2 linked regions of the Diceros bicornis minor genome follow. The protein of the gene in region 2 purifies or fractionates together with the protein of the main gene of each other region. This does not show direct contact. Links are inferred from orthologs where the notes say so. Each region holds a gene or a part of one and is shown on either strand. Other genes may lie near its edges.

Region 1 (15,673 bases), on a different chromosome or scaffold from region 2:
CGGACAATTTCATACGTAAAAAATGATGTATGGGGCCGGCCCCGTGGCTTAGCGGTTAAGTGCGCGCGCTCCGCTGCCGGCGGCCCAGGTTCGGATCCCGGGCACACACCGACGCACCGCTTCTCCAGCCATGCTGAGGCCGCGTCCCACATACAGCAACTAGAAGGATGTGCAGCTATGACATACAACTATCTACTGGGGCTTTGGGGGAAAAAATAAATAAAATTATTAAAAAAAAAAAATGATGTATGCACGAGATTATTTTGGTAGTGTGGTTTGAAATGACCATCCACAGGGGACTGAGTAAATAAAATGAGGTACATGGATCCCTGGAGAAAACCATGCATTTATTTGAAAAGAGGTGACTCTATCCTAACGTGAATTAGCTCCAAGACACATTGTTACATGGAAAATAATTAAGTATTAGTATGCTGCTGTCAACATGGGCGGGGAAAACCATACATGTGTACACAGTTGCATATGCATACCATATTTCTCTGAAAGGTACACAAGAAAATGGTAACAGCCGCCTCAAGAGAAAATAACTGCAAGTGGGAAGACAGGGTGGGAGGAACTTACTTTCACTGTATTTACTTGTATTTTTTTTTTGTGAGGGAGAGCAGCCCTGAGCTAACATCCGATGCTGATCCTCCCCCCGGTTTTTTTTTTTTTCCCAAGGAAGATTGGCCCTGAGCTAACATCCGTGCCCATCTTCCTCTACTTTATATGGGACGCCGCCACAGCAGGGCGTGACAAGCAGTGAGTTGGTGCACGCCCGGCATCTGAACCCTCCAACCCTGGGCCACCAAAGCGGAGCGTGTGCCCTTAACTGGGTCGGCCACCGGGTTGGCCCCTCCTTGTACTTTTGTACCATGTGCAAATAGTAACTATTCAGAAAGGAACTTTTAAAAGAAAGAAAATAACTGTAACCATTAGAGAGTGGGTCCCATCTCCTAATCCTCTATCCCACCTTACCGTGTCTGAGAAAGAAATCCATGACTGTGTTCCTGTCTTGGCTTCACTATCAGTGAAAGAATACAAGCCAAGTTCAATGTTCTCTGTGGCCCCGCTGCTGTGACTTTATATAACCTTTTTATGATCCTACCCCCTAGGAGGGGAAAAGCCAGGCCCCTGAAGTATGAGCGCTTGGGCCCTCAGTGAACAAGTGACTTAGCCTTTCTCAGCCTCAGTTTTCTCATCTATAAAATGGGCGCTCACCAGGTAGTCATGAGGATTAAATGAGCTAAGCACTCAATATCATGCCCGGTGCATGATTAAGTGCTAAAAAAGCTACTCTTTCAACAAATACCTACTGAATGTGGACTACCTGCTGGGCTGTGTTCCAGAATGTTCTTTCTTCCTCCTGCCTCCCCAAGGGCAGGGGAGCTGCTCCAGTGGCCCATCCTCCCTCCCAGAGCCACAGAGGGAGGGAGGATGTTCTGACAAGGCTACAGAGTTCCTGAAAAGAAAACTAGTCTGGCAGCACCCGAGAAAGTTAATGGAGAATTTTTTTTCTTGCCAACAGAAAAACAATTGCTTATCAATCTCCACTCCAGGCCAAGGACATCAAGCCATCCACCCCCAGCAAAGCTGCTTTTAATCAGTCTCCTTGACAAGCTGGCGTCTGGCCCAGGCCTTGGCCCTTGACGTCTGGAGGAGGGGAGAGGAGAAATCCGCTGGCTGGGATGAAGGTAGGGCCCTCTGTGCTGGAGGGGCAGGTGGGGACCTCTGTGCTGGAGGGGCAGGTGTGTCCAGGTCTCAAGAAAGAGAATCCCAGGGGACACCGACCTCAGAGCCTCAAGGCCACCTGGAGGCCACTGGTCTGCAGCAAGGCCTGGCAGGCAAGGTCTCAGCCATTCAGCCTGATGGAAGATCTTTCGCCACTGACCACCTCGGAGTGGAGTCTCAGCCAGCGTTCGGAACTGTTTTGGAGTCACAGACTCTATGAGGTCACAGGCCCTTTAAGGACCTGATGAAAGCTACCAATACACTTCCTAGGAGAAAAAAATCATAAAAAAAGACAATGGTTTGCATAATAACAGCAATAGCTAACATCCAACCAAGCACTTACAAGGCACCAAGCATGGCTAACTGCTCTGCGCTGGTCATTCAATCCTCACAGGCCCTCTGAGAGGGAGGGACAGCTAAGCATTTGATTTCAGGGGGCCCCAGAGCAAGACGACCTTTCCGCAGAGCTGCCCGGGTTTGACAAAGTGCCAAGAGCCCTCTCCTCTGAGCCTCCTGCCCCAACCTTGGGTCCTTCCCCTGGCCCCCAGGCCTCCCCCACGCCCTGGCTGGCAGCCCCAGCTCCCCTGCCCTCCCCTCTCACAGGGCGGCTCAGCTGACCGACCAGACCCTTCCTGGAGCAGATGGATCGGCTCAGGGCCAGGATGAAGGGAAGAGCTCCTTCCTCTGCCAGGAAGCCAAATGGCACAGGCCTCGAGGAAACGCATTCCCATTTCCTGGGGGCAGTTCCAGCCGGCGCCTGCTCACCAAATGCAGAGCCACACGGGAGCCGCAGCGCGGCAAGTAGCCAGCAAGCGCCAGGGACGTGCCCCAACCCGAGACACCCCCTGAACGGGGTCCCATGAGGGCCCGGGCACCATGGGACAACAAAAGGGGCCCAAAATAGCTGTGAGGACCCTGCCGAGGTGAGGGTCAATGTCATTTCCTGGGATAACAGGCTTGGGCAGCTACCTCCTCACGTGGGGAAACTGAGGTCCAGGGAGGTCCTAAAGGAAATTCACTCATCCCTTTGTTCTTTCATCAAGTAATCAGTGAGGACCTACTATGTGCCAGATAAACAAAACAGACGTGATTTCTTAAAAGAAGGCACACAAGTCACTATAAGCACAATGAGGTCACTATGATGGGCCCTAACCCAACATGACTGGTGTCCTTATAAAGAGTGGGAAATTTGGACACGGAGACCGACGCGCACACAGGGAGAACACCAAGAGAACATGAAGGCAGAGACCCAGGTACTGCGCCTACAAGTCTAGGAATGCCAAAGATCGCCAGCAAGCCACCAGAAGCTGGGAGAGAGACAGGGAACAGATTCTCCCTCATGGCCCTCAAGAGGAACCAACCCTCCATCTGGGACTTCTGACCTCCAGAACTGTGAGATCATACATTTCCGTTGTGTAAGCCGCCCGGTTTGTGGTACTTTGTCATAGCTGTCCTAGCAAACTTAACACAGCTCCCACCCAACCAGAGAAGCTGCTGCCTCAGAGGCCACAGATTCAGAGGTGTCTCCAATGCCCGAGGGGGAGACCTGGGAGGCTCGGCCATACCAGCCGACACAGTGCTGAGGTTTGAGGCCAGATGGAATATTCCAGATCGGGGTCCCCGGCCCAGCCAAGCAGTCTTATCAGATTCAGTGACATCAACTCTTACAACTGTCTCTCCTTGAACACTCTCTAGTTTGGAGTCACTGAGACCAACTGTCTCCCCAAAGAGAAAAGCCCTCCCTTGGCAGACGGCAGGAGGGATGGTACTGGCTTCAGAGGGCAGAGACCCCATCCCCATCATAGGCCCTGGAGCAAAAAGGTGGCAAATGGTGACTCTTGTGTGACATCTGGCCACTGATGTATCCTGCTTGGCCTACACTGTGTTTAAAACTATCTGAATGAGATACCAACATTTCAGAGCCAGGAGATTTCAGATAAAAATAAAAATTTCCAGAGTCTCCTGAAGAACTGGATGCCCTGATAGCACTGGGTCTATACTCTTTCCTGGCAACAACGTGGGCAGCTCTGAATAGGAGATACACTCGCCAGCATGCCACTGTCCTCACCACTCCCCACTGCCTCCCCAATGCCGAGGACAGGCTGAGAGCCGCATTGAATGCCCTCCTCTTTCCCATGACCTATTTCACCCCTGCAGGCCCTGCTTTGAGATGCATCAAATGTTAGTGCTAAAAAGGGCACACATCAGTGGTCACCTGCCCAACCATTTTATTTCAGCAATGAGAAAACGAAGGCTCAGAAAGATTTACTGATTTTCCCAAAGTTACACGGTGGTTCCAGGCAGAACTAAAATTGGTCTGAGTTTTTCAGGAAGGGGCTAAAAATTACAGGTACGGCCTTGCAATGTCCACATATTGTGTCCTGAATAAAGTCCATGATGGGCCAAAATCTCCAATAAAGGGGAGCATACAGTCCATCCCTCTGCCTTCCTGAGATCTCCACCTGTGTGAGAGGAGAGTGTGTGAAGGCACAGTGTCTTATGGTGCTCAGAAATGAAATGCATAGGATTTGGGCACAGAGATATGGATTTGACTTAACTTGTGAGAGCCATGGCTTTGCCTTTCTTGTCTACTGCTGAACTCCAGGACCTAGAACTTTCTAGAACACTGCTGGCACTCAATAAATACTGGCTAGAGGTCACTGTTTATTTCACTTATCCCAAGGCCGTTCAGAAGGTCAGATGCTTTCTTTAGCTTGCCTAGAATCTATTTTCCTTCAGTTTGATAACAGCAGCCTGATTTATGTCTGGGAACACAACCTTCCATGCAAAAAGTGACCCCACAGAGATGTCCACACCACCAGATTCAGGGGTTCCATGTGACTCAAGCCTGGTCAACCAGGCATCAACTGCTCTGGTCAAGTGATTGATTCTAGAGTAGATGTGTGACCCAAGTCAGTCTACCGAGTCTTATTCTAGGATTTTGTGGAAGCATTGAGAAGAAAAAATGTCTCTTTCTGTGAAACAGGAGACATTGGGCACAACGATGCCTGAAGCCCACGTACCCCAGGAGTTTTTAACTACATGAGCCAATAAATTCCCATTTTTGCTTAACTTAGTTTGCAATTAGTTTTCTGTCACTTACAACCAAGGGTCCTGACTGACAGATGACACAGAGCTGACTGACAGAGAAACTTCTCCCCTAAGCTCCCTGCCAGATGATCAGTTCTCTATACCTTAAGGCTCCCAACCAGGCAAACTTGCCAGGCAGCTGCAAGTGCCCCAGTAAGCTGCACAGCCTTCACCTTGACAGTCAGGAGGAAACCAGAACTTCCAAAATCTCTTTTTTTCTTAAAGAAAAAAATCAAGGGGGCCGGCCCCATGGCTCAGCGGTTAAGTGCGCGCACTCCGCTGCTGGCGGCCTGGGTTCGGATCCCGGGTACGCACCAACACACCGCTTCTCCGGCCATGCTGAGGCCGCATCCCACATACAGCAACTAGAACGATGTGCAACTATGACATACAACTATCTACTGGGGCTTTGGGGGGGGAAAATAAATAAATAAAAATCTAAAAAAAAGTCAAGGAATAGAAGGGCTAAGGAACAGGACAGAGTAAAGGGAAGAAACTGACTAGCACTTTCGACACAAGAATCACATCATTGTAGCAGCAACCACAGTAGCCACAGACGGGGTAATGGTGACGGCTAGCCTTGTTCAGTGCTTGCCAAATGCCAGGCACTTTGTATGTATCATCTCATTTAATCGTCCCGATAACCTTATACGTTAGGTACCGTTATCATGCTTATTTCACTGATGAGGAAACTGAGGCACAGGGAGTCCGAGGGACTTGCGGGCAATCGCACGGTGCTTTGGGAGGGCACAAGTGTGAAATCACAGGCTCCAAAGTGGAGGAACTCCATGATCAGGGGCACATCCCTTCTCCTCAGCTGTGCGACCTTGGGGATAACAACACCACCTCACCAACCACACGAGCCCCCGCACACAGTAAATGCTCCCTAAATGGAAGCTGTTGCCAAGAAAGCACTTCAGCAGCTATCAAGTTCAAGCCCCTCAGCGGCTATCAAGTTCAAGCCCCTCAACTGGCTTTAATCTACATGAAAACAAAATTTTTTAATCTCTAATCCTACCATGTTAACTTAACGCTTCATGTTCCTCTTTAACTTCCGTCCACATGCAACACTTGGTACAAAATTAAAAACAGAGGGTGCCTACACTTTCGCACGCTTGCTTACTTGTGTCGTAAGAACCTGCGCATGCTCTCACACGGCTTTCACAGTCAACGCACTGGGGCTGCAGATGGAGTTCCGGAGACCCAGGGAGGTGAGAGGACCTGGTTTGAGGCCAGGCTGGGGTGAGAACCAGGTGTCCCCTGCGGCCCAGGACACTTACAGAGCAAGAAGCTCAACGTTTTAAGAGCTCTGAGGAGCTATTGTTCTGTCAATGACAAAGGATCACGGAGAGAGCGGCCCCAATCACACATCCAGGTATCGAAAGCCAGGTATGGGCTGGTGGCCCTGCCTTGAAGAGTGAGAAAGTGTGAAGGTGTGGGCAAGTGGGGGCCGGGTATCTAGACAAGGGAGGTAGGAACCACCTCACTTCCTTCCTCTTCTCCCACTGAATTCCTCCCAGGCTTTCACTGAACCAAAGGAAGACACAGGGAAACAACTGAAATTTCAATTTGTAATGAAAAGAAAGACTTCGACTTCAACATTCTGCAGCTTGGCACATCAGAGATAGAGGGGGCCGGCTCGGCATCCACAGCATCCGTGCCTTGGCCACCCACGGCCCTCCTCCCTCCCTCTTCCCTGCCATTTGGAGGTAATGCTAACTCGAGCTCTCTCCCTCCCCAGCCTCCAGCACAAAGGAACCCCAGCCAGCGCAGGCACGGCTCTGGGGGTCCAACCCTGTCCCAACACCTGGACCCAGAGCGTGGGAGCATCGTCTGAAATGAATCTAAATAAAATCTCTTTCCACCAGAGGCCCTGAAGGCAAAATCCCAATAAAAACCTTTAAAACCCATAAGGGAAGTGTCCCTTCCTCCACACCCTGCCCCCTGCCCCAACCACTAGTTCCCCATTTAAACTCCTCCAGCAGAAGGTTATCTCAGGCACCACCCACAATGCCCCTTCCCCATCTACTCACTTCCTATCTCATGCCCAAGCCAAGCGGGCAGAGGGGCAAGACTTTGGCCTGGGGAGGGGCGCATTTTCTTGGGGAACCATCCTCTCTCCTCTCCAGGTTAGAATTAGCATTTTTATCTCTGCAACTGCCATCTCTCAACTATTTACAGAAGCCAAGAGGATAAAAAGAGACAACATAAAAATAGTTACTTAGCAGCTTTCAGGATGGGATGGGGGTGGGGGCACAACACAGAATCTTCCTATTTTCTTTCTCTCCTTTTCAAAAGGGAAAAATGCTAGAACTGTTTATCTTTTCCAAAGCACTCCCCAATAGTTCACAGACCACTTACCTGGGAGCTTCTTGGGGACAGGGACCAAGTTCCAGCGTTCCTTGTCACCAGCCCCCCCAAAAAGTGTGGGTTCCATGAAAGACCATGAAGGTTCCAGAGCCATTGCTAAGTACAGCGCAGCGCCCTGCTCTGCCCTGTTTCCATCACCTCCTGGGCCTCCTTCCAGCCTTCCAAAAAAACCAGCCAGTCAAACAAAACAAAACAAAACTCTGGCTTTTCTCTACGCTTAAAATGTTTCATAATTGAAGAAAAAAAATTCAGTGGCAACACTACAAACAGGACAGAAACTGAGAACACTGGTGGCTAAAATAACTCCTTCCCCATTTTGGTCACTACCATCCCCCAGCAGGGAATGCCAGAGCCAGAGGTCTTCCCTAGGAAGTCGAAGAGCACTCACCTCCTTTTAAATATGCTATTTTTTTTGGTTTTGTTGAGGCAGCGATGCAATCAGGGAAGAAAGAACAAATAATCATTCAAAATCCTATTTTTCAGAGAGCAAAACCATTCAGAAATTATTTCTGCACCATAACCGCCTGGAGAGGGTGGATTCTACTCCATGAGAAAATGGGCATCCTTTGCCAGCATAAGGAGAGCGAGGGAGACACAAGAGCACGGGATTAGAGGGTGTGTCAGGATCCTACGGGACCTGAGGGTTGATTTTCTCTTCTATAAAATGGAGCCACCCTGGCTTACCTAGCAGGCAGCTGTAGCATCCATCCTCTATATGAAAGTGCCCAGCCCACAGCTCGGCTCCTAGTCAACAAATGAAAAGATCGTGATTTCCCTTCCTCTCTGCGCTCCACCTTCCCCAGGTCAACTGAGAGGGGCTGATGCCCCATCTTTTCTGGGCTCCCTCCCAGCTCTGTTTTCACGCTGCTCCATTTCCGGTCGGTCCGTGGTGGGCATTCCTGGCAAAGCTATCAGGAGAGACTGAGCCGACTCCAGGCCCGGCCACCGAGTTACGGCTCGATTTGTCTGGTGAGGCTTTCTCTACTTTGTGGATTTACTTACCCGGCAGAAGTTTCACAAAATATATACCAAGAAAATCACACGGGGACCTACATTTAACGAATTGTCATCACTGAAAAGAATGGAGCTGAATGAAATCCAGACTCTCCCTGACAATCACACTTCTAACACCTGTGACTTGACCGGGGAGGCAATGGGCTTAGAAGGGAGCTAGGAGTCCTGCGGAGGAGCGGGTGGCAGTGAAATTAAGGGAGTCCTGAAAACCTTCCTCCAGGAAGCTGGTCCCCAACTGATTTCAGAGACCCATCCTTGCATCGCCCTCTCTCTGCAAATGGAGTGAGAAGATAATGTCTTATGCCCAGAGGTTTATTAATTGGGGGCTGCCGAGGCAGAGGAATGGATACAGTCGCCTGAAGAGGATGGACATTAAGAACCCAAATGTCCATCAATGGATGAACAGATAAACAAAATGTGCTGTATCCATACAGGGGAATATTATTCGGCCATAGGAAGGAAGCGCTGATATATTCTACAAGTTGGATGAACCCTGAACATATTATGCTCAATGAAAGAAGCCAGACACAAAAGGTCACATATTATTAGCAGGTCAGTAAGGTAACAAGCACAGCCTCAAAGAAGAAAAGTCCATTCCAAAAGGCAATGCAATCTCCTCAACTTCCAGGAAAGAAGGCACAGAAGCTGGGGTGAAGGCCACTGCAGCACCACAGAGCCAGGCCGCCCTGCACCCCACATCCGGGTTCTCTAACCCAGTCCAAAGGGGAGGAGCTATTGCAAAAGCAAAATATCTGGCAAAAATAGCAGTGAAGGCCCTCTGACCCGAAGGAAAATCTGAAATAGCATTTGCCCCAAATCTCCAGGAAATGGGAACCATATGCTTCCCACAGCCACCAGAAGCAGGCATGTTGGGGAGAAGAAGGTCACAGGTGGCCCTGAACAAGTGACTCAGCCTCTCTGAGCCCTTCCACAAAATCGGTTCATGGAGGGGTACAGGCGATGCTGTGCCCCATGTTAAAATCTGAGCCAAAGTGCCCTGAAAACAGGCTTGGCCTGCCCCACCCAGCCCACCCCTTCCTCCTGAGAAAGGTGCCTCCACAGCCACTGGCCTGTCTTGGGTCCAGACTGAGGTCCTCAAGGAGGGAACTCTGGGTTCCTACAGAAAGTTCCCTCTGCCAGGTCATCCCGTCCTATCTCCCTTCCTCCTACTCCCATCCAATCTCCACTTCTTAGCCCATCCTTCCAGGCTCAGCACAAACAACACCTCCTTCAGGGAGCCTCCTGGATTCACAACAGAGGCACTCCTGGCATTTAGGGCAGGGCAATTCTTCATGCCTGCTGTGGATGTCTGCTGAGGATCTGGCCCGCTTGCAGGATATTTGGCATCTCGGCTCCTGCCCACCAAAAGCCAGGAGTGCTCAGCATCATTTTGACAACCAAAAGTCACCTCCACACTTTTCCAAGTGCTCGCCAGGAAGGTGAGACTGCCCTGGCTGAGGGCCACCGCATAGTTATTAGTGAATACATTTGGCCACCAGCCCCCTAACAACCTGGGAGCAAAGACAAGCCCAAGCCAATCAGCATCACCACCATGCCTGCTTAGATGTGTTCTCACAGGCTAGTTTGGTAAACAACTCTGGGCTCCTCAAGAAGCTGAGGGCAGCCTGCAAGGGCCCCGGGTCTAGAACAGGTGGTAAAGTGCAAAGGCTCTAAGGCCTGACATGCCTGGGTTGCTGTGTGACCCTGGGCAAGTTACTTAACCTCTCTGAGCCCTTTTATAAAATGGGACTAACTCCTAGCAACACTGCAGGACTGTTTCCAGCCTCAGTCTCCTTATATCTACAATAGGGATAAAAATTTGCCTTGTAGGATGTTGGCAGGCATTAAATGAGATAATGCATGCAACACATCACACAGTATCTGGCACCCAGCAAGAACTCAACAAATATGAGTTATTCACATCATTAATATTATTATCCAAGTTACGGGCTCATCAAATGACCGCTATTACTTCTTATTACAAAAATATGTTGTGTGCTCTCACTGCGAATGGCTGCTTTCTACACAGGAAGAGTTTATGAGCAGCCATCTGGAAGGAGGATCGAGACTCACTAGGAAGCTGCACTTGCATAGCATGCACACTGTTTATTCTTAAGCTGCATGTTTTTGTGGGGTGGTTTGGGAGAAGCAGTCTAACTCCCCCAAAGCCCTCCCCTTGTTGCTGCCCCTGCCTCCCCTAGCAACAAGGCAGCCTATGGGGACCTAAGTCTATCCTCTTTTCTCCCCTGGGGGCAGGGGCAGGGGCGGGGGAGTGGTGAATGACAGCACAGCTCTAGGGCACAAGAAGTTTCTATCTCTAGGATTGTGGAGACTTCCAGACCGAGGAAGGTAAAAGTTGCCTCTAAGGAAAAGGACCCTGCATGTCCCATCCCGAGGCCAACGCGCCCCTCTCTTGCTGACTGCCACTGAGATGCCGTCTGCCCCAACCTTCTGCGGGATATGGGGCAGAGGTGCAAGCTCTTCAGCGCCAAGTGAGAGCAGCAGGGCAGCTGGCAGAGCTGTGAAAACACCCGGCTTCCCAAACTGGGCAGTGCAGGGGGTGGGGGAAGCCAGGAAAAGCTCGAGGCTGGAGCGAGTGGCACCCCAGGCATGCAGAGCGGGGTTGGGCCCAGCACCCCGCGTCCCCGGGAGGCAGGCGGAGGGTGCCAGTGAAGGCACCTCTCTGCGTTCACAGCGGAGCTGCGTCCCCGAGGTGAATTTAGGTCAAAAGGACCAAGGCTGTGAGGTTCCGGCTGCGAGAAGGGGGGCGGGGGCAAAGGGCCCCGCAAGTGCTGCTCTGGGGTCCTGCCGCCTGATGTCCAAGCCCCCAGGGCCTGGGTTTGCCCCCAAGACACGCGCGGTGCGGGGGTGATATGCTCCAAGTCCGGTGGCCTTGTCCCCTGCGCGCTCTAGTTTCCCCACCTGTCAAACGTCGGGGGTGGGCCTAGGCCGCCTCCAGCATCCTTGACTGCCCCCGCCCGCGGAGACAGCGGTTCCAAACTCCGCGACCGCCCCTGCCACCCGGGCCGGGCGCGGCCCAGCCAAGGAGGCCACCCCCAAACCCCGGGCGCTCCGAGGACGCGGGGGAAGGGGCGCCAGGAGCCGCGTCCCCCACGTGGCGGGGCGTGGGGCGGCGCACGTGGGGTCCCCTCGGTGGGGGAGCCCGGAGCCGGCCTCGGGGCTTTGTCTGCAGTCCCGGCAGTGGTCCCCCGCCCCGAGAGCGCGAGGCCGCCGGGAGCTGCGTCCCTCGCCCGCCGCCCGCCGCCCGGCTCCCAGCTCCCGCCCGCTCACCTGGGCTCCGCGCTCGGCGCCCCCGGCTCGGCTGCGCTCGGCTCGGCGCGGCGCGCTCCTCTCCGCGGCCCCGGCGGGCGCGCGGGGGGCGGGGGCGGGAGGAGCCGCCCGGTCCCGGCTGCGGCGCGACGCCGCCGCGGGCTGCGCGGGGATTGGCCGCGGCCGCTGGAAACCCGGGCGCGCCCCCGCCGGCTCGGCCCCGCGCCGGGAGGGAGGGGGCGGGAGCTCGCGGAGAGGAAAGCAGCGGCGGGGCGGAGGCGGAGGCGGAGACAGGGGAGGAGGCGCAGGGGAGGGGAAGTGCGGCCCGGCGGGAGGGGTCGGAGGAGGCGGCGGAGCTGCGGACACGGGGAGACCTGCCGGGCGCACGAGCCCCGGAGGCTGCGCGGCGGCTTGGCCCCCGCCCGCGGCGCGCACCTGCCCCGGTTCTCCCCGCGGCGGCCGCGGCACCCTCCGGCAGGCCGGACGCGCCGGCAGCGCTCGCTTTGTTTTAGCCACAGGCGGGGACTGCAGGGCGGCGGCTGAGTCGCGGAAAGTTCCCCAAGCCTGCGGGACACCCGGGGGCCCGCCCCGCTCCCCGGCTCCCGCCCCGGGGCTGCTACCCCTGCCCCAGGCGACCCCGGTGGATGTGGCCTGGATTTCGGGTCACCATCCATTTGGAGAAACCCCTTCCGAACACGCTTCCTCACTGACCACTGCTCAGGGCTCGCCCTAAATTAGGCTGGGGGACGGTGTTCCTCTTCCACCCCGACTCCGCCAGGATATACCAAACTACACGAATCCCAATGAAGTTCTGGCTTTTCCCCAAGACTACTTAGATGCTTTTTGTGAAATACATCATATTCTTCTCGAACATTCTACTTTTGGCGCCCTACTTTGCTGGAGCCTTAAGTGTGTGTTTAGTCTCCCAGCTGGGCAATAGCATTGCGAGGGAGGGGGGCGGGGGAGAAGAGCTCAAGGGCTGCCAGACGGGGGCCTTCGGTGTTTCGAAACCCAGACCTGAACCGAAAGTTACCCAGGGGATGTCTCGCTGACCCTGCCAAGCGGCCGGAAGGGAATCAAGAGTTGAGGGGAGAGTCAAGGGCCGAATTAAAGGTTGACAGGTTTCGTCACCCCTTCTGATGTTATCCAACACGCACTCGTTCGTTGGTAACAGTAAGAACTTGGGAACAATCGTCCTAAATGTTCATCAGATGAATGGATAAATGAAATGTGTTATAGTCATTTGATGGAATACCACGCAATAGTTCAAAGGAATGCATTAGGTCTATTTGTACAGACATGAGGAGATCCCAAAAACAAAGAGTAAGTTGCAGAATACGATACACACAAATATGATGCACAATTTGTGTGTACTATTTTTAAACCCCACACAGTCTATATTGTTCATGGCCGCGAGCTTATATACAAGTGCTTTAAAAGTCAGAGGGGATGAGTGCAAATTAAATTCATGAGTCTGTCCCAAAGGAGGAAGTAGGGACAGAGAATAGAGAGGAAGAACATAAGCAATGTTGTCCATTTTATGCCTTTTTTTATAAATGGATTTGAAGCAAATGGCAAAATGTTAACAGTCAATTCTGAATGGTGGAGGCATAGCTCTGTATTTTTCTATTTTCTCCCCCAAAATATGTATCAGGGCTGATGGGGAGCATTTTGGACATTTCTGACTCTATGTTAGGGGTCAGCAAATGTTTTTTGTAAAGGACCAGATAGTAAATATTTTAGGTTTTGCAGGCCATACAGTGTTGCAACCACTGAACTCTGCCATTCTAGCAGCCATAGACAAAGTAAATAAATGGGGATAGCTGTGTTCCGATAAAACTTTATTTACAGACACTGAAAGCTGAATTTCATATAATTTTCATGTGCCACAAAATATGAGTTTTGATTTTTCTTCAACTATTTAAAAATACATAAATCATTCATAGCTGGCAGGCCATATAAAAACAGGTAGCATGCCAGATTCAGCCCATGGACAATTGTTTGGCAACCCCTGCTTTACTAAGGAAACCAAAATAGATATTGGTTGATGTCTTTTCCTGTTACTTGTTAAAACATACAATTCTGTGTTTATATCATGTTACTTAATTTGCCTATGTTTTATTAGAATGCTGTAGCTAACACAGGCAGAAACTTAGATATACATACAGCTATGTAAAGTTAGAAACCAGTTATGTAAGAAAGGTTAGGAAGAGCCCATCGAAACCCTAGCCCAAGATTCACTTCTTTCTGGAAGAACTTCCTGGAATGCTGTGGCCCAGGCCCTCCTTGACGTCTCTCCTCTCTGATCTCCTATAGCAAAGACTGTAGCTTACTTGATGCTCAGCCAATTATCTTCTTTATTCTTTACCTTTTCACTCATATGCTTTGACTTGCCAATAGAGCTATAAATTCCTGGAGTATAGGCAGGTACCATATCTGAAACATTTGTATGCTCTCAGCATTGTGGCTGAAAAACTTTGGAGCCAGAGAAACCTAGTTCAAATCCTAGCTTTGCTAGGTACCAGCTCTGTGGCCTTGCACTTGATCTCTCCTGGTTTGGTTTCATCAGCTGTCAAATGTTGCCCATCACAGCACCGAGCTCACAGGCTCAGCTTGGGGTTTAAATACAATAATGTGTGCCACGATAACAGCTCGGTGCCTGGTACATAAGTGCTCAATGGAGCTAACTATGAATATACTTAACACAGAGCTAAAAACACCATCAGTTATGTGCCTTGCCTATTAAAGTGAATTAGAACAAAGCAGAGAACATCACAATTGTCTCTCATTGACGTTCAGGCCCTCTTATGATAGAAATTATCCCACTTAAGGAAACCAGTTTCTTCTTAGAGATATGAAAATAAGAATTGGCTTTTGTTTTTTGAGTTTTCTCCTCCAAGAACACCAGAAAAACCTATTCTAGGCAAACAGATCTTGTTGTCTTGACAACACAGATTGCCAAGAAAATAAGTAAACAAAGCATCTGAATCTTATTTTTAAAGAAAACTTGAACAGTACAAGGGAGGGGCTGAAAAGTAAGACTTGAAAATTATCCCGCCCACTAGGATGGCATCACAAGCTCCTGCCAACACTGTCTTTCCTTTCTGAACTGTTCTGTGTCTACTCATGTTCACTGGAATGTTCCGCTTCCCAAACCTTGAACATCCAAATAGAGACAGCAGGATTAATCACACCAACGTACTTTATTTGTTGAATTCTTTCCCATTCAACAAAACAGTAGAAAAACGCTGGCCAAAAAAAAAAAACCGAGAGGTTTCCCTTCAACCAGCAGTGAGATTATGTTTGTTAGTCCCCAAAATAAATAACCACATAAAAGAAGTCGGCTGGGGCATAGATGAAGTTCTTATTTGTCTTAGATGTACTACGAGAAAGAAAAAAGTCAGTGTAACCACCCAAAAACGTCAAGACAAAATTTTAAACACTCTGAACCAGCAGAAATATTCAAGGTACATAGCTGAACACAAAGGCAGTCTGGTGATGGGATAGCGTGTAGGTTGAGGAGCCTGTCACACCCAGAACTGAATCCTGACTTTGGTCCTTACTAGTGAGGGGGCTGCGTCAGGCTGGATCTCCAGGGCTCAGTTTCCTCACCTATAAAATAGTATTTGGCTTACAAGCATTAGAGACGGTATGTGTGAAAGGATCTAGCACAGTGTCTGGCCTATTTGGGGCACTAGGTAAACGACAACCAATATTATCAATTATGCATTCAACAAACTGAAAAAGAGTATTCACAAAAACAGTACTTTTTCAAAACTGAGAACAGGCAGCTTTAGGATAATGCACCAACTAGGTTGGATTCCCAGCTCTGCAACCTACTAGCTGTGTGATCTTTTTTTTTGTTTGTTTATTGCAGTAACATTGGTTTATAGCATTGTATAAATTTCAGGTGTACAAGCTGTGTGATCTTGGGTGAGTGACTTAACCTCCTTATGCCTCAGTTTCTACATCTGTTAAATGGGATTAATGCTATTGCCTACCTCTTAGGATTGTTATGAAGATTAAATGTGTTAATATACATAAATCACTCACCCCAGGGCACTGTGTAAGTGTTAGCTATTTGCTTCCATCTGTCTCACAGCTGGAAACACTCGGCACCAAATGTGCTAGGTAACGAGTTCCCATCATGCCAAGCCACTGGCTCAGGTCACTACACTGTTTTTCTCTTCCCCTTTGAGGA
Region 2 (16,064 bases):
GACCACAGACTGGCCTCTGAGAACCACTGGACCACTGCACTTAAAGCTTCCCTTTGACCCTGACCACCTGGGGCAGTAGGATAAGCACGGTCCTGGGTGTGAACCCAGCTAGGGTGTGTGCTTGCTGTATAATACTGAAGTCACATAACCTTTCTCAGCCTCAGTTTCTTCATCTGTGAAGATTAAAGGAAATAGTGTATATCTGAAGTATCACATAGTAGTTAGCTCACAGGAGAGGCCCCAAAAATGTGAGTTCCTCCCTTCCTTCCCTTAATTGATTTTAGTTCTCCCCCCACCCCCAGCAGAGGGGATGTGGGGGCAAGTGTGCTGGAGGGTGTTGGTGCACGGGAGAATTAAGAAGCAAGTGCAGAGTGATCTGAAAACATGTTCCCAGCCCACGAGGTTCTCCCCAGAAGGGACCCCCAAGCAGGCAGACCAGGGGGCAGGGCCTGCACGGCCCCCAGAGTCGGCCTCAGCCAGAGGAGCCCCGGCCGCCACGGTTCTGACCTCGGACGGTGACGCTGAAGAAGGCTGAGACCCCCTCCGTTCTGCACTCGAATTCGCCACTGTCCTGGACTTGGGCCGCGGGCAGGATCAGGCGGTGTTTGCGCCCGTCTGCCTTCACCACCAGCGCCTCGCTCTCCTCCACCTTCTGCCCGTCCTTGTACCAGCTGGCTGGGAAGTCCAGCCGGGAGAGCTCACAGGTCAGCACCACCCGCTCCGAGGTCGTGAACGTCAAGGACACCTTGTCCTGGGGGCTCAGGATGTGCACCGGGCTCTCTGAGTGGGGAGAAGTGCAGTCACATGCGGTGCCTCGTTGTGCTGCGCCTGGGATACGCACCCCCTCCGGTGCGCGGGCTTGGTGCAGGGCATGGGCCGTCAGGCCAGACAACCGCCGTCCACGCATTTGTTGGACTTTTGAAAAACAGTTTCAGGCCTCCCCACCAACTCTTGGGAGCAGTGGTTTTAGGGTGCCTAAGAATTCTTAGGGAGCCTGCTAAAAATGCACATTCCTAGACAACAGCCCTTTCCCAAGCGTGCAAGGGCCAGGAGTCTGCATTAGTCAGCCCTCTCGGGGATTCTCATGTCGCTGACCCCAGGCCTCATTTTGGAAACGCTGCTCTGGTTGCTGGTTATTTCTCACTTTGCCCTCTTCATGGGATGGTGGCAGCTAACTGCCCCAGGTGCTATTCTTGGGAGCTGAGGAATTCCTTGATTGGCCCTACAAACCCCAGCAATGGTGAGCTGGCAAATGCCAGCGTGCACCCTGAACTTTGAGACATCCACCTAGAACCGTCCTCCTCAGGGATGCCTCCTTCCCTCTCCTTCCCTGTTTCCACAGGTGGCAGAGGGTGATCCTGGAGCCAGACTGCCTGGGTTCATAATCTAGCACCACCACTCCTTAGCTCTGTGGCTTTGGGCACGTCACTTAACCTCTCTGTGATTCAGTTTCTCCATTTGTAAAATGGGATGACAAAAGAACCTAACTTATAGGGCTGTTGAGAGGATTGTGATAATTACTATATGGAAATGATCAGACTGTGCCTGGCACATGGGAAGCTGCTCTGATATGTCAGCAATTACACAACAGGGCAAGAAGCAGTCAGGAACTAGGGGCCAGGACCCATGTCTCTGAGATGATAAACGTGATAGAATTCTATAAACCACAAAGTGCTCCAGAGAATTTGGATACGATGCCGATGAAGATAACAAGAGGTCCCCTGTACATTGCACATGGGTTGAAATCGGCCTTCCGGACCACGGAGCCCTCTCTCTGAGCCCACTACAGGTGCTCCTTACTCTCCCGGCCCAGACGTGAGAAAAGGGAACAGCATCTGCCTCATTTTGCCAACAGGACTTCTGTGTCTTGACCCTATCTGCCCACCCTGGTCCCCACCAGCACCAACCTTGGATGGTGAGGGCGGCAGAGTCCTGCACGCCTGGGCAGCTGAAGCCGACCAGGGCCCCGCTGTCCTGGTGCCTGACGGCTTGCAGGATGAGCCTGTGCTGCAGGCCCTTGTGCTCCACACGGTACCGCAGGGCCCCAGGCTCCACCTGGCCCTCCGGCTCACTGCTCTTGAGCTCCTCCCCGTTAAGGAACCAGATCCCCTGGATGATGGTAGAGAGATCCAGGGAGAAGACGGCATCTTCCCCATCATATACCTGCACATCCTCCAGACCTGCCACCAGGCGAGCTGTGGGCACTGCGACGGGGACAGAGTGCAGCCATCAGACGGCAGAGGTTGGAGGAACATAGAGAACAGGGAGCGAGGGCTGGAGAAGGGAGGAGGGGTGATGGGGAGGGCGTGATTTGGGGCACGGCTGCCACCGGGCCGGGTCTGGCAGGACCAACTCACCGAGGTGAGCAGACCCGTGGAACACCACGTGGGGACTGCGGCCGTGCTCGCTGACCGTGCAGACGCGGAAGCGGTAGTCGCCCTCGGAGGGCACGCAGTCGCCCGGCACCTCCACGGCGCCGGCTTTCTCGATGCTGAAGCATTGGATCCAGTCTTCCGAGCCCACCTCCTGCCGCTCCAGCCGGTAGATGAAGGGGGTCTCGGGAGCTGGCTCGGGAGGCTTCCAGGTCAGCAGGACCGTGTTCTTGTGGCCCTTGAACATCTCTGCCAGCACGGGGGGTCCTGGGGGGTTGTGCTTCACGCCTGAGACAAAGGCAGGGTTTGCATTCCAGCCCCGCTCCCACGGCCCTCCCACCTTAGTCCCCCTTGCTAACCCAGCCTCTGGTCACCCCCTGCCCTGGCCCTCCTGTGCAGCCTTGAGGAGTCTTCCCCGGAGGCTTTCATGCCCTCACATTTGACTCTGAGCAGAGTGGTGGTCCGGGAGTTGCCCAGGCTAAAGGTGACCTCGCCAGCATCTTCTCGGGTCACCCCCGGAAGGACCAGGGCATGCATGTGGCCAGAGCTGCTCTGGCAGGTGGTCGGCAGGTCCTCCCCATCTCGGCTCCAACGCCCCTCGACTCCAGCCTCCCGTGTCTCCACCAGCAGCACTGCGTTCTCTCCCTCCAGGACGTCCAGCTTCCGCGGCAGCCGCTTCAGGATGGGCCCTGAGACGCGGACGGGAATCCATCAGCCTGGGATCTGGGCACCTGCCTGCCTCAGCCTTGGCCTCCTCCCACTGGCCAGCCGACCTTTGACGGTCACGTTGGCCACGGTGCGCACGCGGCCCCGCATCTCGCACAGGTAGACGCCGTCGTCATCTGCCTTCAGCCTGTGGATGATGAGGCGCCGGACGGTGCCCTCCTCGATCTGCTCGTACTTGCGGCAGGGCAGCAGCCGCTGGTCCTCGCGGAACCAGGCGGTGGGAATGCGGGAGTTGGGGACTTTACACTCCAGCACGGCAATCCCGTGCTCCCGGCCCTCCACGTCCTGCAGGGGCCTCGAGAACCGGAGGCGGGGCTCTGTGGAGAGGGGCAAGACCAGAGAAGGCTCTGGAGAGGGCCAGACCCGAAGGACTCCTCCTGGCATCCTGAGCTGCCTAAACCCACATTAGCTCATGCCGTTTGCTTCTCTCCCAGAGCTGGCAGGCACTGTGGAATCACAGAAAAATCACCAGAAGAGAAGATGGCCTAAATTCTTATCTGACCCTGACACTCACTAGCCACATCACCCGAGCAAGGCCATTTTAATGATCCTGGGCCTCCGTTTCCTTACTTGTAAAGTGGGGGAAAGAGATGCACCACATTAGTGATTTTCTTTTTCTTTCTTTACTTTTGCTGAGGAAGATTGGCCCTGAGCTAACATCTGTGCCAATCTTCCTCTATTTTGTATGTGGGTCACTGCCACAGCATGGCCACCGACGAGTGGTGTGGGTCTGTACCCGGGAACTGAACCCAGGCTGCCAAAGTGGAGCACGCCAAACTTAACCACTAGGCCACGGGGCCGGCCCCACATTAGTGATTTTCACACTGTGAAAATCAGTGGTTAAGTTTGGCATGCTCTGCCAGAGGCACCTCACAAATTCTGCAAGGGTCTGAGTGGAATTTCATTTTTAACAACTTTAACCATTTTCAAAATTGCATCTTATAAAAAGAAAGCATAATGACAGAAATGACCAGTGGGTTCACTTGGGCTGCTGGAGAAGCATGTTCATCCTGCAGCTCTGCCCTCCTGCTGGGCTTCTCTCCCAATGGAGTCAGGGTTCAACGCGGCCCGGCCAGTTTGTGCACATCAAACTGTACCAGCGAGGCCACCACGGCACCACAGGTGCCTCGTGCTTGACGGCGTGCCAGGCAGAGCTCAGGAGATTTGCCAACTTTTTCTCCTCTGAGGGAAAAAGCTAGGCAATAACTAGAAAATGTACAATCCCTCGACTTGTGATGAAGTCCTATCATGGAGAGCTTTAACTTCCGGTGTGAGTTTGGGGTGTTCTTTTTTACCCCTGAATTTTCTGTTTACCAGCAACGTAAGCATTTATTAGATATTGCTGGTGACTCAGCTTTGAAACATAAATTTCCTCTCCTTTCTTTTCCTCTTCTTTCAAACCTGAACAGCAGTTTAGTGAAAGAATAGTCAAAAATGCCAGAGTATTTTTCCTCCCTCAAGCTTACCTTTGGGGTGAATCAGGAGTTTCTCAATGTGAGGCCTGCAGGCAGGTGTTTCTCCCCAGGCTCACAGAGGAGAGCCGGTTATGAACACAGCCTCCACTTAAAATGAGTGTAATCAATAAAATAGCCCCCTTGTTCTCACTGGTTGGCTTTAGAGGTATGTGTTATACATTTGGATTTAGAAATTTACACGGATAAAATGTTCCTTTTATCTGTTTTATATATCGGGGCCCCAGATGGGGTTTCCATTGGGGAAGAAGGAGTGAATTAATAAAGAGGTTGAAAACCACTGGAGTAGAAGAGATCTAGGCCCCTCTGGGTTTGTACATCAATCACTCCTTAAAGCCGCTTATCAAGGGTAGTTTTCCACCACTTGCCTCAGAATCACTTGGGGAGGTTTGCTAAGAAGTTCCTGGGTACGCTGGAGACCTGCTAAATCTGAATCCCTGGGGGGTGGGAGGAGGGCTGGAAATTGTATTTTAATAGCCCGTCTCCCCTCCCCCACCGTCTTTTGGGCGGCGCTGGGCACTGAGAGGCGATGGAGTAAGGAGGACCCCGGAGGGCGCTGGAGGGCTCTCCAGGCCCGGGCTGCTGGGGGCGCCGCAGTACCTTTGACGTGCAGCTGCACGGCACTGAGCGTCTGCCCTGCCGAGTTGCGCGCGGCGCACACGTAGAGCCCGCGGTCCTTGGCCTGGCAGTAGAGCACCTTGAGCACGAAGCCGCCGTCGCGGTCGCGGTACATGAGGCGGCGGCGATCGGGGAGCAGCGGGCGGCCCTCCCAGTGCCATTCGATCTCGGGCTCGGGCTTGCCCATCACGTAGCAGCGGAACTTGGCGTGCTTGCCCTCGTTCACCCAGAAGGTCTTGGGCGCACACTTGAGCGGCTCCACCACCGGCGGGGGCGCCTCGTCGGGGTCCTCGGGGGGGCTCTCGGGGGGCTGGTGCACCTGGAGCAGCGCGCCGGCCTGCGCATGGCCGTGCGCGTTGCGGGCGTGGCACACGTACACGCCCGAGTCGGGCAGCCGCGCCGCCAGGATGCGAAGCGCCAGGCTCGCGCCCGGGCCACCCTCGGCGCGGCGCGGCTCGAGCGCGAAGTGGCCGCTGTCCCACACTTCGTCCAGGGCCATCCCGTCCTTCTCCCAGTACAGCGTGGGCGCGGGGAGGCCCCCCACCTGGCACGTCAGCACCACCTCCGCCCCCCGCAGCACCCACTGGGACCGGGGCCCGGTCAGGAACACCGGGGCGCCCTCTCCAGCCCCGGGCGGCGGCAGCGGGCGCTCGGCGGGCTGGGGCTCGGGCTCGGGGGCCGGCGGCTCCAGCACGGTGACGGCGGCCGCCGCGTAGGCCTCCCCGGCCGCGTTGCGGGCGCGGCACACGTAGACCCCCCCATCGGTGGGCCGCGCGCCGCTCAGCAGCAGGCCGTGCTCGGCGCCATCCGCCGGGAAGCTCAGGCGCTCCGAGGCCACCAGCGGCTGCCCGCCCTTCTCCCACACGACGGTGGGCGGCGGCTCCCCCAGCACCACGCACTTGAGCTCGGCCTCGGCGCCACTTACCACCCGCACGGGCCGCGGGAAGCGCAGGAAGCACGGGGGGCTCCCCTGATCCCCCGAGCCCGCCTTCATCGCGCCGGCCGCAGACGGCCCCGCGGCGCGGGGGCAGCGCGGGCGGCCTGCGGGCGCGCGGAGGCCCGGAGCGGCGGCGGGAGCCCGGGAGGCGGGGCGGATCTGGGGACGGGGCGCGGGGAGCCGCCGAGCTCTCCCGGGGCCGCCCGCTCCCGGCTCGCCTCCTTACCCTGGGCCCGGAGCTGCAGCTCTGCGGCGGCGGCGATCCCGGGCCCGGAGCGCGCAGCTCAGGGGGCAGTCCTTCCTGTTTGCCTTTACGGCGAGGGGCCCCGCAGCCTCCCCTGCCCGCGGCCTGGCTTCCTGCTCCCGAGAGCCTCCCTTCCCAGCCCCCTCCCCCAGCCTGGGCCTCTTTCCCCTCCTCCTTCCCCCCTCCAGCCGCCAGGTCCCCAGCCGCCCGCCAGGCTTGGGCCTGAGTGGCAGAGTCGCCTGCAGCTGCCAATCCCAAAAATATTCTCTGATGACACAGCTGGAGGACAAGAGCCCGGGCTGGCTCCTCCAGGCTAAGTATAGAGCAGGCGGGACCACCTGCCCCCCGCCCTAGCCCCAGTTCTAGCCCCAGCCTCAGCCCTTCCCCCAGGACTGGTCCAGCAGCTGCTTGGGTGAAAGGGGCCCCAGAAGGTCTGAGGGGCTGGCACATTCTGTCTTCCCGACAAATAACCCTCTTAGGAGCTGACAGACCCCAGCTGCCAGGCTCCTGTCACACCTGATGTCACCTCTGTGCTGGGTGCTCCGATGTGACTGGCAGTGTGTGTGTGTGTGTGTGTGTGTGTGGAGTGAGTGTGTGTAGGGGGAAGGCTTGTCTGTGTGGGTCAGGTCACTTGGGGTGAAAACCCTCACCAGCCCCCTCCCCCACATTCCTGGCGGGAGTGGGAGATAAGGCTCAGGGCCACAGACATCTGCGTCAGAGATAGGAGGTCTCAATGCCACGGGCAGGGGCAACTCGGACTGCAGGGTGTGGGAAGGGCTGGGGAAGACCCAGGGAGAAGGGTAGAAGAGGGCGGGTGGTGGGATGGGGAGTGGGGAGGCCCTGGGCAGACCCTGACTGAAGGGGCGCAGGGCAGGGAGTGGGGTCACTGTTGGCAGGCCCAGGTGAGCGATGGTGTCCCAGCCGCCACTGCTGTTCCTCTTGCTCCTGGTTCCACAGGCTGGGCATGGCTGCCAGGGGTCACAGCTGGACCGGGAAATTGTCCTGGCCAAGGTGAGGGCCCTGTTCCTGGACGCCTTGGGGCCCCCGGCAGTGATCGGGGAAGGTGGGGATCCTGGAGTCAGGCGTTTGCCCCGAAGACATGCCTTGGGAGGCTCCGTGCGGAGGGCCTCTGAGCCCGAGGAGGAGGATGTATCCCAGGCCATCCTTTTCCCAGCTTCAGGTAACGAGGGCGGGGATCTTGGAGGGCGACTTTGAGAAGCAGCATGGTTCAGTGTGGGCTTGGAAGCCAGGGTGGTCTCACTCAACTGGCTTTGCAACAATGGGCCAGTTACTAAACCTCCCTGACCCTCTGTGTCTTCATCTGTAACATGGGCAATAATGCCTACCTCTCAGGATTAAGTGAGATGGTGTATCTAGAGTGCATGGCACATAGGAGGCATTGGGAGATATTCGTCTGGGAGACCAAAAGTCCCTAGAGACGGAGATATCTGGGCATGAGCCCCCTCTTGCCACCTTCCCTTCTTTCTCTGCCTCTGCTCCCTGCTCCAAACCTTGTTCCTTTAGCCCCAAGTAGCTGAGACTTGAGAGATATCAGAGATGTAGGAGAAAGAGCAGTTGGGAAACTTTTCTGGGAAACCGGTCCATCTTCTCTTGAATTCCCTTCTCATCTCCCTGTGTGTGTCCCCATGTTCCATGGACCGAACCAATAAAGCCCTCCTCTGGATCTACTTTCTTGTAATCTGTCCCACCTTTCCCTTAGAGAGGACCGGCTGCCTCCCTGCTCATCACTCCCCGTGCAGCACAGTCAGTCAAAGTGTGGCTTTGGGATCAGGCAGAGTCCCAGCCTGGCCGCTTAAGTTAAATGTCACTCACCTTTCTAACCCTCAGTTTCCATATCTGCAAAATGGATCGGTTGTTGTGAGGTTTATAATAGATAAAGATAATCCAGGTAACACTATAGCTCTAACCGCCAGTCCTATTGGTGCTGATCCATGATGGTTCACTGTGGTCCATGTACCCATCAGGGTCAGGATGCCAGCTGCACTTTCTTAGAACGTGCTGCCCTCTATCCTGAGCTATAGTCTCTCTTCTCCTCTTTCTTCTTTTTGGTGTTAACCTGTCTTTTTAAAGTGGAATTATTATTTTTTCTAATTAAATTTTTTATTGCAGTAACATTGGGTTATAACATTATATAAATTTCAGGTGTGCATCATTATATTTCAATTTCTGTTTAGACTACATTGTGTTCACCACCAAAATCCTAGTTGCCATCCATTAAAAGTGGAATTATTTTAAAGAATTTATCATGCACTATTTTTTTTTTATTTTGGTGAGGAAGACTAGCCCTGAGCTAACATCCATGCCAATCCTCCTCTTTTTGCTGAGGAAGATTGGCCCTGGGCTAACATCCATGCCCATCTTCCTCTGCTTTATATGGGACGCCGCCACAGCATGGCTTGACAAGCGGGGCATTGGTGCGCGACTGGGATCCGAACCTGTGAACCCTGGGCCGCTGAAGCAGAGCACACGCACTTAACCGCTGCACCACCAGGCCGGCCCCTATCAGGCACTATTTCTAACATGTAAAAAGATATAAAGAGTAACACAACAAATGCCTGTGTACAGACCCTTCAAGGTACCATTTCACACTACCAGATGAAGAAAAATTTAAGTCTAACGAACAATTCCAAGTGTTGGTGAAGGTAGAGAGCGGCAGGGCCTCTGACACACGGCTGATGGGAATATTAATTGGTAAAACCACTTCAGAGAGAAGTTGGCAACATCTTGTATTTTTTAAGTCCTTTAATGATGAGATAATAAATGGGGAGCCTCTGTCAGTTCTCCCAAGACTGGAGGGAGGCCCCAAGTTGGCAGAGCACTCAATGGAGTGGTTGGCAGGCTCATGAACGGCAGCCACATCCCTTCTGTCGAGGAGGAAGGCTCCCCAGTCTGCCAGTCAGGCCTGCCCTCTCCCTTCCCTCTGTCTCCTGTAGGTGCCAGATGTGAGGATATGCCAGCTGCTGGTGAGTGGGCCCAGGAGGCTGAAGAGGGCCTCTTCACGTATGTGTTCCGGCCGTCCCAGCACACACGCAGCCGCCAGGTGACTTCGGCCCAGCTGTGGTTCCACACCGGACTGGACAGGCAGGGCACAGCAGCCTCTAATAGCTCTGGGCCCCTGCTAGGCCTGCTGGCACTGTCATCCGGGAGTCCCATGGCTGTGCCCATGTCACTGGGCCAGGCACCCCCTCGCTGGGCTGTGCTGCACCTGGCCGCCTCGGCCCTTCCTCTGCTGACCCGCCCTGTCCTGGTGCTGCTGCTGCGTTGTCCTCTCTGTTCCTGCTCAGCCCGGCCTGAGGCCACACCCTTCCTGGTGGCCCACACACGGGCCAGGCCGCCCAGTGGAGGGGAGAGAGCCCGGCGCTCGACTCCTCCACTGCCCTGGCCGTGGTCTCCCGCCGCGCTGCGCCTGCTCCAGAGGCCTCCAGAGGAACCGGCTGCCCACGCCAACTGCCACCGAGCGGCTCTCAACATCTCCTTCCAGGAACTGGGCTGGGACCGGTGGATCGTGCACCCTCCCAGTTTCATCTTCCACTATTGTCACGGTGGCTGCGGGCTGCCTGCCCCACCAGACCTGCCCCTGCCGGTCCCTGGGGTTTCCCCCACCCCTGTCCAGCCCCTTTCTTTGGTGCCAGGGGCCCAGGCCTGCTGTGCCTCTCTTCCGGGGACCATGAGACCCCTACGTGTCCGCACCACCTCGGATGGAGGTTACTCCTTCAAGTACGAGATGGTGCCCAACCTTCTCACACAACACTGTGCTTGCATCTAAGAGAGTTCTGCGGGGGGCCAAGCCCCCACCATCAGCTGGGAGGAAGGGCAGAGTTCGGGAGATTGATGGTTTCTACTTCCCCCTTCCTCCCACTTCTCTGCCTGAAGGCTCCTCCCCCGTCCCACCGCTGTCCCATGGGTAACATGTGACAATAAACAGCGTAGTGCATATGACTTGGCGTGAATTCTCAGGCTTCTCTGATATGGCGGGGGCCAGGTCTGGACCCCGGGAGCATGGGATTGTGGGATCTCAGGTCACTCAGCCTCACCTGACCTTGGAGATCTGAGGTTCAAGAGCTGGGATTGGATATGCATCTGGTGGGAAGCCACAAGGCTTGGGGATGACACAGAGGTGCTCCAGGCTCTTGACAGCCACACTGGAGACAGAACTGGCCCTCCTGCAAGCCGGACCTGACATGTCAGTTGGGTGGCCTGCCCTGCCACACCTAAAGGCAACGACTGCTCTCAGTGCCTGCATCCACGGTGGCCATAGCCCCTCCCCTGCCATTCTCTGCCCTAGCTGATGGACACTAGCTCAAGGTCAGGTGATTCGTAGACTGGCCAGAGACCATGGCTTGGGGCCCCACTGAGACACATGTTCAGAGCTGGTCAGATCTTGGGTTTCTCAGGAACTTGGGTGGGAAGTAAGGGAGAGATGTATGAGTTGGCAGCATCCGAAGGTTGACCAGGCAGAGAGGTGGAAGAATGAAGACCTGAGGGTTTCAATTTGCCAGGGTCCTGGACTCCTTTGAACCTATCACTGGGTCTTGCTGTAGCCTCTGCGAGGCCTGGCTGTACTGGGATTTGGGTTCTTGAAATCTTTGGCTCCTTTGATGCACACTGTGTATCTTTCTGTAGCCTCTTAACTCAGTCCTTGATGTTGGAAGCATGGAAAGGCAGAACCTACTGCTGGACAAACGTGTGCTCTTGTGTGAATTTGTGTACACACTTTGTGTACACACAGAGAGTCCGGAGCAGCATGCAAAGGGTCTTTTTCCCATTGGTCTCATACTAGTCCATTCTGCCCACCTTGACTGGAGGTCGGGAACCCCACTTCCCCAGCCTTCCTCTCTGCTTATTCCGCCCTCCTCATCCTCCCCTCTGTCTCACTATCCACCCGCCTGCCCCAGGATCCTGGCTCTCTGCCAGTTGGTTCCATCCAGTTTCCCTTTAAGGGAGATGTGTGTGTGTGTGGAGGGGGAGGGTTGGGGATGTTCAGGTCCCTCAGACTGAAACTCGAGAGCTCTGTCTGATATTGACTGTACAACCACAGTGTGTACTTATGCTAACAGAGTGATTTGTCAAAGTCCAGTTCCATGCGGCGGGCAGGTAAGCGCCTGCCCCGGGAAGGGGGTGTGGGGGAGAGAATCCCATCCTGTCACCGTGAGGCTAACACATTCCCCCTACTTGAGACGAACTGAATGAGCTTCTGTTCCTTGCAGCACAAGAACCCGCCAGAGCAGCCCACGTCCACGCTCCTGCGCCAGCCTCAGTCTCTGTTGACACTGAACCCCCGAGGAGGCTGCCACTGCTGGGAGGTGGGAACCTGCCTATTCCTAATCCTGAGTCTCTCCCAGCACCTTCATCTATACCCGGCATTGCAACCAGTGTGTGCTCAGGGCTCCTGGGGGCCCTACTCACGTGGTGGACTTGTGGGAGGGCTGGCTGGGCTGGGCTAGTGGTGGGAATAGATCTTCCTCAAGCCTGTCTGAGCGCCACTCTCTCCCTGTCTGGCTTCCCTTGCCAGATCCTCCTACCCTGAGCCAAATCTTTCCCTGGGATTTTCAATCCTCCTATTAAACTCAGGATCCTCCTTCTTCCTGCTGGGGCTGCCTAGGACCCTGTGTTGTCCAGACTTTCCCTGTCCCAGGGCTATGGATGAGATCTGAGGGCTGGGGACACTCTACTGAGGGGCACAGTGTTCTCCACTAGGCCAGGTAGCAGATTGGTGCTGCTAGTAAAAAGTTTTTACACATCTGAGATGGAGTGAGAAAAGTGAATATAAGGTAGTGTCTTTCATGAAGCCAAAAGTATTTATTTTAAAGGACTGTCCTCTATTCTAAGGTTATCCTTTCTGTGTGTGTGTGTATGTGAAAGTAGTATTTCTTTTATGATATTATGGTGATAGTAGAAGGTGGTGGTTTATTTATTTTGTTTTTAAGTTTTTACTTAACAAAATTAAAACTTGGAAATTCTAATTTGGTCCCTAAGATTTTTCTTTGTAATTTTGCTGCTGAAATCTGTGACATCTCAAGTCTGGGAGTCACACTGGTCTGGGCCAACCCTTCCAGGGCTCTGGGCCTTAGATTCTGCTAACTTAGCAAATCAGGAAGATACGTCCACCGCTCCCTAAGAGGGGCTGACAGTAGTAAGGACATCTTTTTGTCCTCACTCTTTGCCATGAGACTAAGAGCATGCCAAGAGACTTCAGAGGTGCTCCCCATTCCCAGTGCTAATCATTAGGGACACTGAATACTCTTAATTCAGAGTCAGTTTGAACAGAAAACACAACTCAAACTGACTTAAACCAAATAAAAGAAATAATATAAAATAAAATAATCACTGGCTCATGACAAGTCCACGGTCACAGCTGGCTAAGGTATGGCTTGATTCTGAGCTCAAAAGTTGTCTCAGGATCCAGCTACAGGCTCTGCTTCCCCTCGGTCGACTCCATCCCAAGTCCATGGTGACCTGGGCAGCTCCAGGCTCCCATCATCACACCACATGGTCTAGCAGGAGGGCGTTTGCTTACAGAAGTCCCAGACTGGGTCTTGGTGGCCTGATTGCCCTGATTGGGGTCATGTACTCCTCCAGGAAAGGTGGCTGAGGGAACAGAATGAGTTAATGACTTAGATCACGTGTCTTACCCCCAGAGCCCAGAGCCTAAGCACAAGGGCTAAAGGTGAAGACAGGTGTATCCCCAAAGTAGGGTACAGTTATCACAAAAAGGTGGGGTAGATGCTGTGTGGCAAGTACTGTGGGTTCCTCCTCCTAATGATCTCTCAAATCAAGCCCTTTCTCTCTCCCTACGTAGACACCATTTTGTCACTTAGGGGCAATTCTTTTTTTTTTTTTTTTTTTTTTTATTTTTCTGGGGAAGATTGGCCCTGAGCTAACATCTGTTGCCAATCTTCCTCCTTTTTTCTCCCCAAAGCCCCAGTAGATAGTTGTCTGTCATAGTTGTACATCCTTCTAGTTGCTGTATGTGGGACGCCGCCTCACCATGGCTTGATGAGCAGTGAGAGATCCGCGCCCAGGATCTGAACCTGTGAACCCCGGGCCAAGGAAGCAGAACATGTGAACTTAACCATTACGCCGCCAGGCTGGCCCCAGAGGCAATTCTTGATTGCGCAATGCAGCAGCCTCCTCAACGGCTCTCTAGCAGTCAGTCACTCCCTACCTCTCCAGTCCAGGTTAGCCTGGCTGCCAAAGGAGACTTCTTTTGTGATCATGTCCCTTAGGTGGCTTAAAAAGTTGACTACACAAAGTTCCACCTGTGTTGTGTGGTAGACTAGCCCTTTACAATTGACCCTAAGCCCATCCTTGCAGCCTGATCTCATACCCGTTGCTGCCTTCCTCTCTCCACCAAACCACGAGCTCCCAAACTCCGTTGATACAATCTCTGGTTGTTCCTCAAGTACATCATTTTATCCTCAAGCTGCCATGTCATCAGTCTTCCTTCTTTCCTCAGCCAATGCGTGGGTGCAGATCCAGTTTTGATGTCATCTCTTGTGTGGCTTCCCCTGACTCCCAGCTGGCAGAGCTAGCCACTCTCTTCTCATTGCCTCCTGGGCACTTTGTTTTTTAACGTGGATTTTCAAAAAAACGTTACTTGTTTTTTATTTCATAAATAACACAGAGATTGACGTGCCCACAGTAAAGATTCAAATATTAAAAATAATGCTGAGGTTCCCCTTGGTCATTTCTCCCAATTCTAGTCCCTACACAGAGGTAAGTATCCCACCAGACATATTTCTTTGAGTTCACACACGTACATATTTCTTGTAGAAATCATCTTTTCTCCCCCAGAAATGGTATCCTGCCTGATGCATTGTGATGCAATTCTTTTATGTTCTAAGAGCTGTCTTTGACTTTATTTTCCTCTCTCACTATCTTTTTTTTTTTTTTTTTTTGGTGAGGAAGACTGTCCCTGAGCTAATACCTGTGCCAATCTTCCTCTATTTTGTATGTGGGACGCCGCCACACCGTGGCTTAGACGAGTGTCATGTAGGCCCGTGCCCTGGGGTCCAAACTCATGAACCCTGGGCTGCCAAAGCAGAGCGCACGAACTTAACCACTATGTCACCGGGCTGGCCCCTAAAATGTTCATTTCTTTCAATAAATTATTTCCTTAGGACGATGACTTTGCTCCAGTGAAAATGTAATTTATCCCTGGCTGTCTTTTTTTTTTTTTTTTTTGTGAGGAAGATCAGCCCTGAGCTAACATCCATGCTAATCCTCCTCTTTTTGCTGAGGAAGACCGCCTCTGAGCTAACATCTATTGCCAATCCTCCTCCTTTTTTTCCCCCAAAGCCCCAGTAGATAGTTGTATGTCATAGTTGCACATCCTTCTAGTTGCTGTATGTGGGACGCGGCCTCAGCACGGCCGGAGAAGCGGTGCGTCTGTGCGCGCCCAGGATCTGAACCCAGGCCGCCAGTAGCGGAGCGCGCGCACTTAACCGCTAAGCCACGGGGCCGGCCCCTCTGGGTGTCTTTTTGAACTGAGACTGACTATTATTTATTATCCAAGTCCTTTTCAATACATAGAAAGGAGCAAGCCTTCCTATTCTGAGGGGAAGACTTAGAAATAATCTTTGTCCTCTATGTTATGACACTGAGAAAAAGTTTTCTCTGTGTTGGTGGGATCAACACTTTTATCCTGTTCTGTTAGCACTCCCAGTATTAAAACCCCTAGCATAGGTAAATTCACCTCCGTGAAATAACCAGAGGCCCTGGAGAAAGGTGAATTCTAAATTCCTATTAACACATTCAAGTCAACTGGCAGTGAGTAGGCAGAATGGGCTTTTCTAGACACCGGGAAGTGATGTGCTGCTGTAACAAATACCTAAAAATGTAGAAGTGGCTTTGTAATTGGACAGTGGGTAGAGGCTGGAAGAATTTTGAGGAGCATGACAGAAAGAGCCAAGAGCGCTTTGCACAGACTCTTAGTAGATAGTGGATGCTAGTGCTAGTGAGGGCTTTGAGGAAGTAAGGAGCATAGTAGGCAAAATGTAATGCACCATAGAGAAAATCTAAATTATTGCTAACAGACCATTAGAAGAAATAAAGACGTTAAAGGCACTGCCAGTGAGGGCTCAGAAGGAAGTGAGGACCATGCTATTGGAAACCGGAGGAAAAGACATTCTTGTTACACAGTGGCAAAAAGCTTAGCTGAATCGTGTACTGCAGTTAGGTGGAAAGCAGAAGGTGTAAGTGATACACTTAGATATTTAGCTGAGGAGATTTTCATGCAAAGTGTGGAAGGTGTGACATGCTTTCTTCTTGCTGATTACAGAAAAATGTGAGCGGAGATAGATAAATTGAGGAAAGAACTGTTAAATATAAAGAAACCAGGACTTGATGATTTGGGAAATTCTCAGTCTACCCAAATGGCAAAAAACACTAAAATAAGAGATTCATTGTCAGGAACGCCTGCTCTAGAGGAAGGGATGAGGGTGTGGCTATACAACCTTTTGCTAATATCGCAGAAAGATAAGGTCTGAGTGTGTGGTCACACAAAAGGCTCTTTGAAGAATTTAAGTGTGTGACTCATAGCTCCCCTCAGCCATCTCATACAAAGCTGATAATAGAGATGAGGTTATCTAGGAAAGATCTGTGGAGAAGCCTCCTGTCTACCATGACCTACACAGGAGACCCACAAGTTTCTTGAGAATCTTATACTAGCAGAA

Evidence for each region.
Region 1: the proteins of OBSL1 (region 2) and CAMKK2 purify together in Homo sapiens (affinity purification with mass spectrometry; 4 studies listed by BioGRID and IntAct, with this or other methods). This does not show direct contact. The link is inferred for Diceros bicornis minor from reciprocal best matches to the Homo sapiens genes OBSL1 and CAMKK2.

What each region holds. Positions count from the first base shown.
Region 1 is NC_080774.1:8,550,549-8,566,221, reverse strand, and holds the start of CAMKK2 (calcium/calmodulin-dependent protein kinase kinase 2), read right to left. Parts: upstream 9,016-15,673; 5' UTR 8,019-9,015; coding exon 7,873-8,018; intron 7,347-7,872; coding exon 7,180-7,346; intron 1-7,179. UniProt on the Homo sapiens protein: Calcium/calmodulin-dependent protein kinase belonging to a proposed calcium-triggered signaling cascade involved in a number of cellular processes. Isoform 1, isoform 2 and isoform 3 phosphorylate CAMK1 and CAMK4. Isoform 3 phosphorylates CAMK1D.
Region 2 is NC_080776.1:9,822,779-9,838,842, forward strand, and holds the start of OBSL1 (obscurin-like protein 1), read right to left. Parts: upstream 6,474-16,064; 5' UTR 6,183-6,473; coding exon 5,171-6,182; intron 3,416-5,170; coding exon 3,146-3,415; intron 3,062-3,145; coding exon 2,810-3,061; intron 2,661-2,809; coding exon 2,358-2,660; intron 2,205-2,357; coding exon 1,908-2,204; intron 781-1,907; coding exon 508-780; intron 1-507. Other genes in the region: INHA (inhibin alpha chain), read left to right, coding at 7,279-7,549, 9,324-10,156. UniProt on the Homo sapiens protein: Core component of the 3M complex, a complex required to regulate microtubule dynamics and genome integrity. It is unclear how the 3M complex regulates microtubules, it could act by controlling the level of a microtubule stabilizer.